Linked DNA regions of Drosophila melanogaster. The protein of the gene in region 2 interacts with the protein of the main gene of each other region in a pairwise test. Each region holds a gene or a part of one and is shown on either strand. Other genes may lie near its edges.

What was found. Proteins that work in one complex are often made in the same cells at the same time.
Region 1: the proteins of CG13843 (region 2) and CG43996 interact in a two-hybrid assay, tested with the Drosophila melanogaster proteins (one large-scale study listed by BioGRID).
Region 3: the proteins of CG13843 (region 2) and Mlp60A interact in a two-hybrid assay, tested with the Drosophila melanogaster proteins (one large-scale study listed by BioGRID).

What each region holds. Positions count from the first base shown.
Region 1 is NC_004354.4:17,020,360-17,023,870, reverse strand, and holds CG43996 (uncharacterized protein), read right to left. Parts: upstream 1,568-3,511; 5' UTR 1,548-1,567; coding exon 564-1,547; 3' UTR 501-563; downstream 1-500. Other genes in the region: CG43997 (uncharacterized protein), read right to left, coding at 1-345.
Region 2 is NT_033777.3:22,606,383-22,612,550, forward strand, and holds CG13843 (uncharacterized protein), read left to right. Parts: upstream 1-3,102; 5' UTR 3,103-3,155; coding exon 3,156-3,724; intron 3,725-3,772; coding exon 3,773-4,292; 3' UTR 4,293-4,333; downstream 4,334-6,168. Other genes in the region: Efa6 (exchange factor for Arf 6), read left to right, coding at 815-836; CG31156 (uncharacterized protein), read right to left, coding at 2,478-2,701, 2,764-2,893, 2,967-3,099, 4,340-4,570, 4,628-4,817, 4,870-5,069, 5,139-5,421, 5,481-5,851 and 1 more.
Region 3 is NT_033778.4:24,072,984-24,078,723, reverse strand, and holds Mlp60A (muscle LIM protein at 60A), read right to left. Parts: upstream 4,123-5,740; 5' UTR 3,655-4,122; intron 3,551-3,654; exon of another isoform or gene 3,526-3,550; 5' UTR 3,502-3,525; coding exon 3,387-3,501; intron 3,276-3,386; coding exon 3,116-3,275; coding exon of another isoform or gene 3,112-3,115; exon of another isoform or gene 2,770-3,111; intron 2,544-2,769; coding exon 2,441-2,543; intron 2,379-2,440; coding exon 2,282-2,378; intron 2,222-2,281; coding exon 2,125-2,221; intron 2,071-2,124; coding exon 1,774-2,070; intron 1,667-1,773; coding exon 1,346-1,666; intron 1,287-1,345; coding exon 1,016-1,286; 3' UTR 501-1,015; downstream 1-500. Other genes in the region: CG10339 (uncharacterized protein), read left to right, coding at 1-390; Gpat4 (Glycerol-3-phosphate acyltransferase 4), read right to left, coding at 5,393-5,696. UniProt on the Drosophila melanogaster protein: Positive regulator of myogenesis.

The DNA.
Region 1 (3,511 bases), on a different chromosome or scaffold from region 2:
CAGCTGCATTTCCTCCTTTCCCTCCTTGACCAACATGGCCCACGAATCGGGAAACTTGTGGTGCGACTTGCGCTGTGAACGTGCCATATTCTTGCCCATGCGGTAATCTGGGTTCAAATCCAAGTCACTGGTGTCCAGTACCTCGTCCATGGCGTCCACATCTTGGCCTTTGCGACAGTTCGACTGGACCTCATAGTCCTGGTCCGTCATCTTTTCAAACATGTCCGATTCATCATCGTAGTCGTAGAAGGTCGGTTTCTTTGGTGGACGTCGTCCGTCCACTTGACAGCGCCCGAAAATCACAATGGAAATGTAGATTATCACCAGTAAAGCGACGGAAGTCATTTTCGATAAGTTGTCGGAGTGCTGACTATAGTCGGAATGAGTAAAAGCGGCTGAAACATTTGGCAGAAGAAGGGCTGGCGTACTTGGATTACACATTTCATATAGTATTAATATATTTTTTAAAAGTTGTGAACATATTTAAAGCAAGAGTACATACAAATGGTTTTATTCTTTATTGTAGGGTCTCTTTAAGTATTAATATTCATACAATATTTATTTTATAAATCCGGAGTTATCATTCTCATCACATTTCGCTCGATCTCATCCCGACTGTCCATGAGGCGACGCAATTTAGCATCGTAATCCTCGTATCGTTCTTGATTTTTTTCATCCGGCTGTAATTGCGATGAAGCCTGAAACTCCTCTGATGTTTCCGGTGAGGTCATCCAATATCTCGACTTTGATCCCGTGATGTCCTGGCCGCTGTTCAAAGTGGTTTGCAGCTGGACAGGACCATGGAAGAGTTGCAATAGAGGCGGAACCATCACTCGACGATCCTCAGTAAAAGCTTGTGGCTGGACCTCTTTGTTATCCACACTGTCCTCGAAATGGCAGTTGTCATCAGCACACAGCTCGGTTGCCTCATAGAAATCCGGCTTCTTGGACCATTTCAGACTAGGATGTTCCGTAGGCGTAGTGCCTTGGTTGTTGTTTCTGCATATGTTGTCATTTTTCGCTTTTGACAAGCGGGATTGAAGGATCTGCAGATTATCGGTTATGGCTTTGGTGTGCTTGTGCAGAGATCCCAACAAACAGTTAATTCTCGAAACAAAAGCTTCATCCTCAAAACTAATGTCGTCGTCCTCCTCTTCATAAGCCTCATCATCGCCATTGTCTTCATCACCATCATGGATATCATCGTCATCACTATTGCCCGCAGGATCGGCATTCTCGTCATCGTCCTCGTCCTTGACCATCTTCCTGTCAACCTTGCAGCGATCCTTCTTTTCATACTTCACATCATTCGGATTTTCGGCGGGACATATGCCCGATTGCGAGTCCATGTCGGTATTGACCTTCCACTGATCCCGATCTCGATCGAAATCGTCCTCCATGGCACCGCTTCGTTGCTTCTTTGGCTTTTCAAATATGGAGTTAAAGCCATCAAATGTGTCACCATCGTCAATATACTGTATCAGTTGAGTCAATTGAGTGTGTAGCAAAAGGATAAATATAATGATTATTTTAGTTAACCAGGCCATTTTATTTTGTTAGAGCGTAGCAAATGACATTTAATGCTTTTCGAAACATTTAAACATCAAACGATGATTCCTTGAATTTTAATTGTTTGCTTTTGATTCTCATAAACATTTTCGCTCAACCTCCGGAATGGAAATCTTACAAAACCAATGGATTCCTGTGGCTTTCCTTCCGGTATGTCATCGGTTTGCATTCCTGCGGCTTCTGGCGGCTTCATCTCCTGATGCTTTTCTCCAGCTTTTCCCTGATTTTCCCGCAGTTTCCTGCTGCCACTGACGTCAAGGATGCGGCACTGAAATGTTCACTTATTGCGGTTTTTGTTTCCATTCTTTTACCCCGCCTGTTGTTTACAACCTGCGCACGATTGCCCCAAAGGTGCGACCATGGGCGGGTTGGCATTGGGGGTTGGGAAATGTGGGTGGTGGTGGGTTGTGGATAAAAGGGGGGGGGGGGGTGGCGTCTAACGAATTCATCAGCGCTCACAAAAGATGAAGAAAAATGGTAAACTGAGGCCAAAAGATGGCCACGAGCGAAACACCTACGCAAGCGGAAGGGAAGTCACTCACCATCTCCCACAAAAAACCCCTACACCACGACATGCACTGGAAAAAATGAGGAAGGAAATACAAAAACTTATTTTGAGATTTTGAGATGGTTTATTATAAAAGTTTTTGATTGTCCTCATTCATTCAATCCTATATACTATAGGAAAACATGCATATTTTCTCAGATCTTGAAATGTTGGACAATTTTTTCTTAGTGCATAATCACACCATGCTGAGCGTCACCCTTGCGGAAGTTGCTAAAGGATGGAAAGGATGCCGGTGAGGATGGAAATAGAAATAGAAACGCAGCACAAGTGCTACAGACAAGTCCGATGATGAAGACGATGATGGTGCAGGTGATCCAGGTGCCTCAGGTGGGAGTGGGGATAGTTACGACTTATATGCATCACCGGAGGACGATGGGCGGGGCATGATGAGTACCGCTCTTGGAAAATGCATTTTCAGTGTCGCTTTCCTGCCGTGGGTGCAACAAGCTGTCCCATGAAAATGTCTTTATGCCCGAGCAAAATTGGAAAACATGCGTGCACTGAGGGAAATTCATCGATCGAACTTTTTATGGAAACTACAATTGCGATTAAGGCATCTTAAGTTTTGTTCAATTTGTTATATTACTGTATTTCATAAAAGGTTTTAACTACACCTTTTTCGTTAAGGCCTAAGATTATTAACATTTTACAATAAAAGCTCGTTATTTTACTATTTCTCTAGGTGTAGAGGTATGCTTAAACAGGTTTGCCCCTCAGTTATCATGTCCTCTTAGAGATTTGATTTAATTCCGCCGGCCCACTCTAGCATTTTGTAATTGCTCGACCAGGCGACTTCCCTGCAATTTGCAATTAAACTGCTGCAGTTGATGGCAGTCGTCGTTGGGGAGTCGATTCCATTTCCACAGGATATACAGCGAGCAGGAAAACGCACATCTGTGCGGGAAAAAGTTGGCCAGAGGGAGCTTTTTAGTTCAGTGACATTTAAACTTTAATTTAAAGTGGCAAGCCCTTTTACTCGCAATGGCAATTAGCAGTGAAAGGAGGGGAGAACTAAATGAGCTATTTCTAATTATGTGTTTCAGCGTTTGCCCCTTTTTAATGGAACATAATTTATTTTTCCTGTTACTTTGGGCCATACAAAGAACGAATAAAAATAATTATCAATTATTATTATGCGGCTTCAGTTGAGCGATTTTTAGGCGTTACCAAATGACGCATTTCAATTCAAAATTGTTTAAAAGCCATTTAGACTAATCTATACCACCATATTTCAGAAAAAAGTTTTTGTTATGAATAATTTGGTTAGTTTAAAGCATTATTATCTGTGCTAAAATACATTTTACTAAACGTATACTGACTTAATGAATCACATTTTGAATAAATATTTCAAATAAAGTTTCAACTCATGACTAA
Region 2 (6,168 bases):
AAATTAAACAAAGAAATGTAGAAAACACAAATGTGGTTCACTAGTAGCAAACGTTTACGTTTAAGCCTAAGCTACCGGCATTCCAAATATACATGCAACAACATAATAACTCACAAAGAAAAAAGGATTATACCAGTTTTACAAACCAGCACACATCCAACGGATAGATATAAAATTTAAGTAGACGAATCAATTAAGCCATCCCACACCCACACACTGTACACAAGTTGCTGATGATTTCACCGATGTACCCATATATGACTCATGTTAACCCGACGACATTTGGTGACCCCGAGCCCTAGGTGAACCCAAAGCAGTTGCCGTTACTCGTTGCCCGTTGCCATTCCGTTTTCCCGTTCAAATGCGTTCAAATGCTACGTTCCACCCAAATGCAAGTGAAATGTGAAAAGCAAAACCCAAATGGAAGAATTCTTCAATCTTACAGATGGTTCGATGTCTTCTGCTGCTGTTGCCCACTCTGGCGGCACTTGATCCATTCGAAAAGCCATTAAGCAACTTAGTCTCTTGCCAAGATTTAGCCACATCAGCCACAGCACACGAAGCACCACAACTCAGAGGCTAGTGATCCGCTCCAAGAGGTGCTCCTTGTAAATGCCCTGACCCGTACTGATCGACCCGATCACCTGTCTTATTAAATGTGAGCAGGCCGAGGCCAAAACTCAATGTTAATTGTTAACTCTTCAGTGTCTAGCTTGGCTTAGTGCGATCCCAAAACGAATTCCCACCATCCGACAACCCGTTTTTTGTTTTCAATCCACGATTGCTAACCTCGCTTATTGTTCTACACTTGCAGAAAAGAGAAGAAAAAGAAATAATTACGTTTTATTTCGCTCTTGATTTCGATCATTTCAAAACTCGCATAACCAACACACACCTACATCACAATCCCCGCCTCTTGGCTATCGGTAAGTGCCATGCCCACATTGAACCTATCAGCAACTTCGACTTATGCGTGTAACTATCTTTTCTCTCCCCACCAGTGAAGCAGGCGATTGAACGAATTTGAATAGAATACTCCAAAATGCCAAGCTGCCTGCGACGGGAACATAAACAGATCAGATCCACACAGAACCACTGAACCACTCACCCACTCGCATACTCAGCACCACTCGCGCCACGCCACCACCCACCCACTTACACTCAAGCGTTGCGGCTGTGCCGTGTCTGCCACAGAAATTCGGAATTCGTGCACTTTCAGTCAGTTAAAACCCCATCAGGGGTTGCGAGAAAGAGATCATTTGAGACAATTAGACTACCAATGCGATAATTAACGAGGGAGAATTTTACGTTTAAAGGTCGTTCATCAGAAGACATCGGCATAATCTCGGCAACCAGAGGATTATCTCGAATTCGTGCAGTTGATTTTATATTTACCATGCTACTTATCCAGAATGAGGGTATTCGAGATCGGTTTCACCTGATTTAAAGCTACACAGTCAGATCGATTCGAATTTGAATTATCGTTCATATTTGCTCCGCCAAAGATTCTGCTGGACGGCTGTTTAGGAACGAGAATGAAAACTGCTTATACACATAGACTTATTATTACAAGAGTTGATAAACAATACTTACATCATTACCTATGCTATCATTATAAATGATAAAAATAAATTATTAATTAATGAACAATATCTCTACACAACCACAAGATGGAGAACATCGGCAGTAACAATAACGAAATGAGAATTGAGAAGAGGACAAGCGCATTAGCATTAAGCTTAAGCAATTACTACCATACCGTGTACAACTTGTTTTTGGTCTTTTGCGATACATTATCACATTTAACTGTGTAGGAACAGTTACTCCAATATTATGTACGGATTAATATATTTATTTAAACAACTATCGGTTGATTACGCGACATGTCCATGTAGCTAGAATATGAAATTAAATATCCATTACGGGGTAAAGAGAGATGGAGGAAAAAATAAAATTAAATGCATCATATATTTTTGAATATATTATGATTATGGTATTGTGTAATTATGTAAATGCAGACTATATAACATTGTTTATAATAATTTTTAACAATTCTACTGAAACGGCAATAAATTCGAAAATACAAACTAACTAAAAGTGAAAGCAACTTGCCTGCTGCAAACCAAGCGCCTAAATGTATGCATATTGTATATTTATTTTAACTGGCTTAAGAGGGCATCACTTAGTTTCTAAAGCAATACCCTTTCGATAACAATTCATTTAAGACAACTTGCCAACTTGTGGCGAGAAGGGAAACAAGAAGACGAACGTGGAGACGGTGATTTTTATGTGAACATTTATTACTAACTGATAAGCTTTGATTAAACTTAGGAAAGCCGTTATACTATGCATATACACATATATATAAATATATATATGAACTATATATAGTATATATGAATGCTCGTGTGAGCAACCAAACAATTACGATATGAATCATTAAATACTTCCGAAAGCATTAAATCCCTGCAGTTTGTCTAATCCTCCGCCTTGAACTTAAACGAGGTATCCGTCTCCATCAGCATATTTTCCAAACGTAATTCCAACTGGCGTCGCTTCAGATCCACCTTTACCACCGATGCCACAATGCGATCGCCAACGCTCAGCTGCGAATTATTCATGTTACTGTTGTGTATGAGGCCATTGCGCTCCACTCCAACGTCCACGAAGGCGCCAAACTGGGTTACGTTGGTCACGGCACCTGTGTGTCGGAATAGTTTCAATAAGTACATATATGAAATGACTATCATAGTCTCCACTTGCCAGTGACCACCTCGCCCATGCTAAGATCATCCAGCCTAGTTAGACCTTGTTTGAACAGTGGCCTCTTGTCCAGATCTGCTCGATAATCCTGAAGTAATTCGCGCTGCAGGGCAACCAACAGGAACTCCAACTGAAAGGAAATTTATTTTAAATTATTTGAACATTGCAATAGGCCTGTTTAGTATAGATTGAGTGGCACTTACTCGCTCCATGGGCAGCTTGTGCTGCTTGGCAATGCGATCGAGATTAGGCTGGGATGAGGCAAACTGCTTGATGCTAGCTATAAAGGCAGCCTTGCCCACATCCGACAGCTTTAAGTCACATTCTCCGACAATACTGAAAGCACAAAAAGTATTTGGTTTTAGAGTTAAGTTTTCAAATTTTCCATTATAATGATTGCCAAGCTAAAGCAGGAATATGCGGAGCGCTGGCATTATCCTCCAATTGTGCCGCCAGCCAAGCTTCGATATGTTGCATGTGGAAAGGTAGCATTCTACGGCCACAACGATAAGCCGAAATACAAGCCCTGCTGGCAGCATCCGCTCAATGTGCAGGATCAAACCCGCTTTGGAGTTTGCTGGGAGTATCCGCCGGAGCGGTACAAGCGTCGTCCGCTTCCGCCACCGTGCCGGGGATCGACCATTCCCATCCATTTGCTGAAGCCAACCTTCAAGCATTGTGAGAATATCTACTCCCGCTACGATTTTAAGCTTGAGCAGTGTGTGCACGAGCAAACTCTAGTAGTTGACCAGAAAATGAAGGCCCTGAAGAATGAGCTGGAGCAGGCCAAACCATTTCAGATTGAGAGGGTTAAGGAGATGCGTTACCATGGAGTGCGTTATCGCATTTTAGCCAGCTCGACCGGATGCACTAAGACCTATCCCGAGTACATAAGCCGGATGACCGAAGAGCGGGCCCTTTGCGAGTTTCAGAGAGCCTACAATATCGTCAATCAGTCAAAGTAAGTCTATTAAAAATACACAGCCACTGCTAATTTAAAACTTTTTAGCACCGATTTGAGCAATTTATACCTGGACATGAGTGAGTCGAAAAAGGAGCTAGATCAACGCGTAGCCAGGTTGGACCGGTCTTTAGGAAGTACATTCTTGAAAGAGCTAGATTCGGTGCTGCAAATAATCGAGGACTTAAACACGTATTTCTTTGGCGTGATCGTGAAGCTAAAGACGTGGGCGGAGCTGATGGACCCTATGAAAGAGCACTCTATAGAGGACTATCTGGGGCTTTTGAGTCAGGAGACGGACTTCCGGACTTTTATGAGTGCCGGCATGGAGAACTGCACCTGCAAGCGTTGCGACAAGAAGGATCCCTTGAAGCCGTACCTTCCGTGCTGGTGTCAAATGGAATCTAGCGAGGATGTTACAAATCTTAAGAATTTTGACGACGATTGTCCAAAGAACATAGCTGGCATCACGCAACACGAAAGTGACATTGTGACACCTAGTGACACCTCCTTGTTAGTGAGGGCAGCGGATGAAAAGGCCAGGCTTGCGATGAATCAGGCGGAATAAAGTCTCATTATTATTGGTTAATGAAGTCAATTGAATATTGGACTTACCTTTCCACAACGTTGTAGCTCTCAGGATGCACCCAAGTGCAATCTAATGGATTCTGTAGTTGTCCTCCAACGCTTCGGGGTTCGATGCGCACAAAACCGGCGCACTGGACAAACGATTTCTCACCTATGCTTCGCACGGAGAGCAGATCCTTCCGTGTCTTGAATGGTCCTTTCTGCGTACGATGCTCAATGATCTTTTCCGCTTTCTTTTCCGACAGACCAGCAATGTGCCTATATGGTGGAGAATATTAAAAATATATAACTTATTTGACCCTTAATCACACATACTTGAGTACACTCAGACTGGCTGTGTTGAGATCAACGCCAACATAACTGACACACTCGGACACAACGTCATTCAGCGATGCCGTCAAAATCTTCTCGGGAACATCGTGCTGGTACATACCAACCCCCAGGTGACGGGGCTCTATTTTAACATATTCACTCAATGGATCATTCAAACGACGCGCTATGGACACTATACAAAATATGTTTGTTTGTGTTGCTTTTAATTTGATCTTCGTCCAAACCTGCGCTCCTTTCGTTTGTATCCATTTTGGGAAACTCCTTGGCGGCCACATTGCTGCAGGAGTAAATAGATGCTCCATTCTCGTTAACGATGCTGTAGCGAATGATCCTGCTGTCCAGAACGCCGGCATGAAACATACCAGTTAGCCAGTGCTCAGTTTCGCGACAGGCAGTACCATTGCCCAGGCCAATAATTTTACAGCTTTTGGGAAAGGCAAAAAAGACATATTAATAACTATCTTTGCAAATCGAATTCAAAATATATATATACTTATGATCTGAAAGAAGCTGAACCAATTTCTGTTCGGCAGCCCGCTTGTTTGACATGGCACCATGAGGGTAAATAACACCAGTGTACAGCACATCAGCAGTCTCGGATATAAGTGCCAGCTTGCATCCATTTATAAAACCCGGATCTATGCCCAAAATGCGTTCGCCTTTCAAGGGGGATATCAACAGTAGTTGCTTCAGGTTCTTGGCAAACACATCGATGGCTGCCTTTGTGCCTTTTTCTTTTAAAGCCGCTCGAATCTGCCTGCACATCAAGGGCTGCACTGTAATAAGTAATTAATTAACATATCATATGGGGGTCTTAATATATTCCATATCTTACACTTCTTCGCGTAGCACTCCTCTAAGGATTTTGTGAACACCTCCCTTCTTAATGGATATTGCAAGCCTTGGTTCATGTACTGATCGGTTATATAGCGCATCAGATCTCTTTTAAGGTAATCGTTCGTTTCTATCTTGACAGAAAGCCATTTGTGCTTCTCCCCACGATTGATGGCTAACATTTGATAAGGTTTTATAGTTTTAACATCACCCTGGAAGTTGAAATAATTCTCAAACTTTGAGCTATCCAATTTCTTATCTGCATTTTGGTTGGATCCTTTACTGGAGCTTGCTTTACTAGAAGAACTAGATTTAGACGATTTCGCCTCCTTGGTCTTGCTGCACTTGAGGAATACCCGGTGCACGTTTTGCCTAGAACGATATAGCAAATAATTTCAATAGAAACTTCCTAGTTAGGTACAAGAGCTTACAATCTGCGTATTTCCTCCAAAACATTTGTGTTTTTGCTGATGTTGTGAATAATAATTTGGCAGATTCCAGACATCACAAGTGCCTCCGTAGCTAAAGCCTCATTTCGGCGGTCCACAATTTCAGAAAGGTTGACCTTAGGTGCTGAGCCGTACAGTAAACAATCGGCGTACACCTGCAAGCCCAAAGCTTTGGCGCGTTCCGCCAAAGTGCCCTTACTGGCCGGCTTATAGGGGGCATAAAGGAACTCCAGTTCTTCG
Region 3 (5,740 bases), on a different chromosome or scaffold from region 2:
GTGCCCAAGTACTTCGACCAGATCTTCGTGTGGGGCAATCCCTACATGACCAACTCCGTTGACTGGAAGTCGACCGACAAGAAGATCGCCGACATCATCATGACCCTGTGGGCGAACTTCGCCAAGACCTCGAACCCCACGAAGTCGAACGTGTACGTGAAGTGGAACGCCATGACCCCCAATAACGATTCAGTGCTTCTGATCGACGAGAGCTTCAACACGGACAACCTGCTGAACAACCAGCGGATCAACTTCTGGAGATCGCTGTACCCCAAGATCCTTGTCTTCTCCGCCGACTGCTGCAACTCCACGTTCTCGGGCAGCGGCCTGGTGATCGCCACTTCCGTTCCCATACTATGTACCCTTAGCATTATCGTTAATATATTTTGAATAAAGAGCTCCTGCAATAGATGACGCTTTGACCCTCTCCAAGTAATCTGTCCTACCGTTACTTATTACTTATTATATAATAAATATTTGAAAACAACAGAACCACATGTACAAAGTTACCACTTGTCGTTTATTAGTCGTTCGAAACTTATAGGATATTGATTTGTTGCTACGACTGCCATATATGTATATCATATCATAGGGAGTAACTCAGAAGTTCAAAGGATTTCGAATGGCGGTATCGATTGAAAATGGTGTGCATTTGCATTTGCACACCAATCCTTTGGATTCTTGGGCATCCTCGATAAACAAGGTTTGGAAATTCGTTTTCGCAGGTTTTACGATGAAGTTCAAGTCGAAGGTTAGAATGCATTTTTCGGTACTTATGTTCGAGACTTATACAATTTCTATACTAACCACCGCCAACTCATTCGCCTTCTATACTTTCATAACTAAATGTCGTTGTCTTGGAGCTAAAAGTACACTCTTGTGGAATTGCAATACTACACCTATTCGTCATCCTCAAAAATGTGGGCGCTCAAGGACTGAAATCCCCAGCACGAATCTTGGAGCTTATTCCATGCTGGTGGGATTAGTTCTTGAACGCGCTTTTTTGGTCGAGTTGTTAAGCCATTGTCAGTGTGCCAGCTCCGATTCCGTAGCCCACACCCTTTGGCCCATAGAACTTGGCGTAGCACGATCGGCAATAGATGCCGCCATCGGGTCCGTCGTTCAGATTGGTCGAGTCCAGGTATTTCCGGCACTCCATGCAGTAGAAACAGAGCTTGTGCCACACGTTCTTCGCGCTCTTCACCTGTTCCGCGGCGAAGACCATGAATCCGCATCGCGGACACCCGTTCTCCGACTTTTGTCCGTTGCGATCGATGGTTCCCCAGCTGGAAGAAGAGATCCTTGGATCCAGACGAACTCTCTTTGAACTGGACAACGGACTTACCAGCTGGGCGTGTACTCGTAGTTGGTGGACACCAGGGTGGGCGTGTGTCCGTACCCGACGCCTTTGGGGCCAAAGAGCTTCGCGTAGCAGAGCTTGCAATAGATATTGTCATCCGGTCCGTCACAGGCGAGCACCGAGTCCAGGGGTCGGGTGCACCTGGCGCAGTTGAAGCACTTCCTGTGGTACATCTTCCCCTTGGACAGCTGCAGCTCGGCCGCAAAGACCGCTCCGCCACATCGGGGACATCCCTCGCCGTCCGGAGCCATGATCGAAGTGGTGTCCGGAGCCACAAAGGGTCGTTCGGATGCCAAGTTCTCCTCACTGTAACAAATCTCTTTCAGTCAAATTATGGATTGGATTTTGACGAATATGATTGAAAGCTTGTTTTATCCAAATTCAAGATGAGCCTTGGAATGGAAACCACTCACGTAATGCCGTCGGTTTGCAGGAAACTGGATCCACAGGCGAATCCGTAGCCATGGGGTCCCCACTTCTTGCCATAGCAAGTCTTGCAGTAGACCTCATTGTCCGGACCATCGCACGCGATAATGGAGTCCAGAGTTTTGGTGCAGTCCCGACACTTGAAGCACTTCCGGTGCCAGCTCCTTCCCTTGGAGAGAACTTGTTCCGCGGCGAATACTACGCCGCCACAACGTGGGCATCCTTCTCCGATTGGCGCCTGGATTTGCTCCACATTTATGATGGAGGCTTTGGGAGCCATGTCGCTGCAAGCACCAACATAATAACCTAGCCAGAATTGGTGTTACTACTAATCTCACCTTTGCCACTCGCTATCCCTGATGTCGGACATCAACCCCAAGGACGAAATGCCGATGTGCCCGTAACCCCTGGCCCCAAACTTCTGAGCATAACATCCTGAAAAGCGAATGCTTCTAGAGATCCTAATTCTCTAAAATCTATGGGTTGGAAATGTACCTCTACAGTAAATGTCCTTGTCCGGACCATCACAGTGAAGAGTTGAGTCTAGAGTCTTGTTGCATTGCACGCACTTAAAGCACCTTCGATGGTAACCCTGCGATAAAGAACACCACCTAAGACAAGGGCCGACGGACCGAGATCGTTTCAATAGTTCACCTTTCCTCTGGCCAGCATCTGCTCGGCGGCATACACATATATGCCACACCGTGGGCAGCCCAGCCCGTCGGGTGCTTTTGGGGGAATCTTGGGCGGAACGAATCTAGAAAGATTCAAATGCCTCCCTCAATTACGGCGCTCTCGGTGGACATCCAATGTGGGGGGGGGGGGGGGTTGTTTCATCTTAGTCACACACAAGACGAGGAACAAAAGTCAGAAAGGTCGGTCGTTGTGCCCGAACAAAAAACGAATTGGGGAAATACACGAAATCCACATAGACAGCAGCGAGGGAGATGCGAATAGAAACCTATAAATAACATGTGAATAAGCTTACAACTACTTTGTTTTATTGTACATTTATTTTATCAATTTACAGTCCGCGGACGTTGTAAACAAAGATACAAGAATTATTTCACCAAAGACCACAATGTGTTTGCTAGTTTAACATTAACAATCGGTTAGTGTTAGTGGAATTTTCCAGGGAATCAGAAACTGGATATCCCTGGCGGTTTCTGCCCGGAAAGTTAAAAACAAATTTTTCGGTTGCTTTTTTGGGGGTGGGCGTGTGGAAAACATTGAAAACATACAGGTTCTAATAGAAAGCAAAACTACACATTTAATTCAAGGAATTTTACACAATTTTCATACAAAACATATTTCTTATTTAGTCCTTACTCTCTGTTTAAGTGGGCGCCAGTGTCCGTGGACAGGCAGCCGGCACCACCACCGAAACCGTATCCCTTGGGACCGTATTTGCGACCATGGCAGTTTTTGCAGAAAAGCTCCTTCTCGTGCTCCGTGCAGTTGGTCGAGTCCAGGGCCTTGTTGCACATGCCTGAAACGGGCGAGTGGAGGGGGAGGGGGGTAGGGTTTTGCGTTAGCTATCCGACATCCGACTCGAAGGACCAAGTCCAGACGATCTGGCTGGCAGGACATTTATACTTACTGCACTTGAAGCAGGTCTTGTGGAATTTGTAGCCTCCGGCAACGCGCTCCTCGGCAGCGTAGACCGACTTGCCGCACGCGGGGCACTTGGGGGTTTCAACGGGAACGAAAGGCATTTTGATCTGAGTGCGTGTGTGTGTCTGCGGGGGCAAAAAACTGTGATTATGGCAAACTGCAGCGGCTATGCGTGTGGTGGATCAGCGCGATTCAATTATATACACACATATATATATGTATATATATATATATATAATCCTAAGGATATATACCTCGGAGGTACTCTGTGAAGTAGTTCCTATTCGTCGGAAATGCCGCGGACTAGACTGGAAAGATTCTGTACACAGGTAGTCTATATTTGTGGATGCACACGGCACAACTAAGAAAATACAGTTTGCGTAATAAAAACAGCACTTTCTGAATATATCATTTATTTATCATGCAATGCCCACGGCTCTATGTATGTGTACTCTCGGCTATATCCACGCCCCGATGTCTCATTCCTGGGCTGGTAACAGACCAGTTAGACTAACTTGGATTACTATATCTTCACCCACTGGGAAGGAATTTGCCTCGTCTTGAAGTAATTTGTTTTGTTCTACTGCACTCTCAAGTGCGAGGCATGCAAGATTTTTGGGGAAAAATCGAAATATATAATGGGCTGTTTCTCACGAAGGTTCTACCCGTATAACCAACCAACTAACCAACCAACCATCCATCCAACCAACTAACCCATATGTAATCTGATTTTACGCAACAATTAATTTATTAGCTTTCGACACGCACACCAAAATCCGCGCAGATGTAAATATGTATGTTTGTAGTCTAAAAATATATGCACACCCATGCGATGTGTATCAAAGTACATTCATGGCCTTATTTTAAACTTAGAAATTCGAAAATAGCTCATAACTGCTCAACCCAGATCCATAAATAAACCCATTACGCATTGATCGCTCGATCGGAATTGGAATCGGATTTGGAATCGGAATCGGATTTACATGCCATAAAGTGTTCGAAAATAGGTTCCAGTTTTCGAAAGAGCGTTTTTGGAGAGTGGATCGAGTGGCCAGCCACAAGTGTTTCAATTGGGGGGCCAAACGAATATGCACATGGATATGAATATGAATATGGATGTGGATGTGGATGTGTATGTGGATGGAGTGAAGCATCTTTTCATCAGCGCCTGCGATGCCCATGTATAAACATATCTATAAATAGAGGGGCTCTGGGTATTTGTTAATTGTAAATCGCTCACTTGCGATTGGCAATGAGCCTAACAATTTATGAAGGCCAGGCCCATTGACTCGACAAATCTGACAATGTGGTTTGCTTTGCCAGCATTGTTTATCCGCGTGCCGATCCGATCCGATACCACCATTATTTTTGGCGACAGTTCAGGGTTAGTTCATCGCCAAGAATGTCGGGAATTAACCACTCGATCGACCGATCGCCTCCAACTCGGAACACGGAAGTATGTATGTCTTAATTACCTGTATGGGTGGACAATTAGTGCAAAATAGACATTTGGCGCAGCGCTGAGTCAGCCACTCGTATTTATTATTAGCCGCATAATTATGAATATGTAATCTAGTTATTCGCCATCTTGTTGGCTTCATTTGGCTCCGCTTAACTATGCATGATATGCAGGTGGCCAAAAATCAACATCCATAGGTTGCTGACCTGGTCTCGCTCCATCCAACAAAGAGGCCTCACCTTCGAGCCCATTCTTCGCCAGAGTGTGGCTGGCGTTTTGCATGACAAAGAAATGAATTTACAGCGATCGGGTCCAGATGTTATGATAATCAGCTTATCAGATATCGTTTATTTTACAAAGTAGATAAATTAATTAATATACAAATAATTATTATAATTGTACATTTGACTTCATCTTTTATTTAACCATCCAATTGTTAATCGTAATTTATACAAATTACAGTCGCTGCAATACAAATTATGCAAAATCATGTATGTATATCATTTACAGTCACTGTATGGTAATATGGTAATTTAGGTGGAGTCCGACTTCAGCCGATTGGCAAACTCGACTTGCTGGATCTCCCTCCACTCCTTCTTTGGCTTCATGCGCTTCAGCTGCCCGTCCCAGACCAGATCAATCAAACCTCCCTGCTTCGCGATGACACTCTTCACGCGGTTCGCGAAGTCGATCGCCGACTCTCCCTCCTGCCTGTACATCGGCGGCAGGTACCACACATCGCACACGATGGCCCACGAGGTCATCATCATGTACAGATACTGCATCATCGAGTACTTCGCGCTGTTCCAGAAGGCGTCGCCGAACCTCGGATCGTACCTTCAAGCCAAAAGAGACCCCACGGATGAGAAATGGTTTCGCCG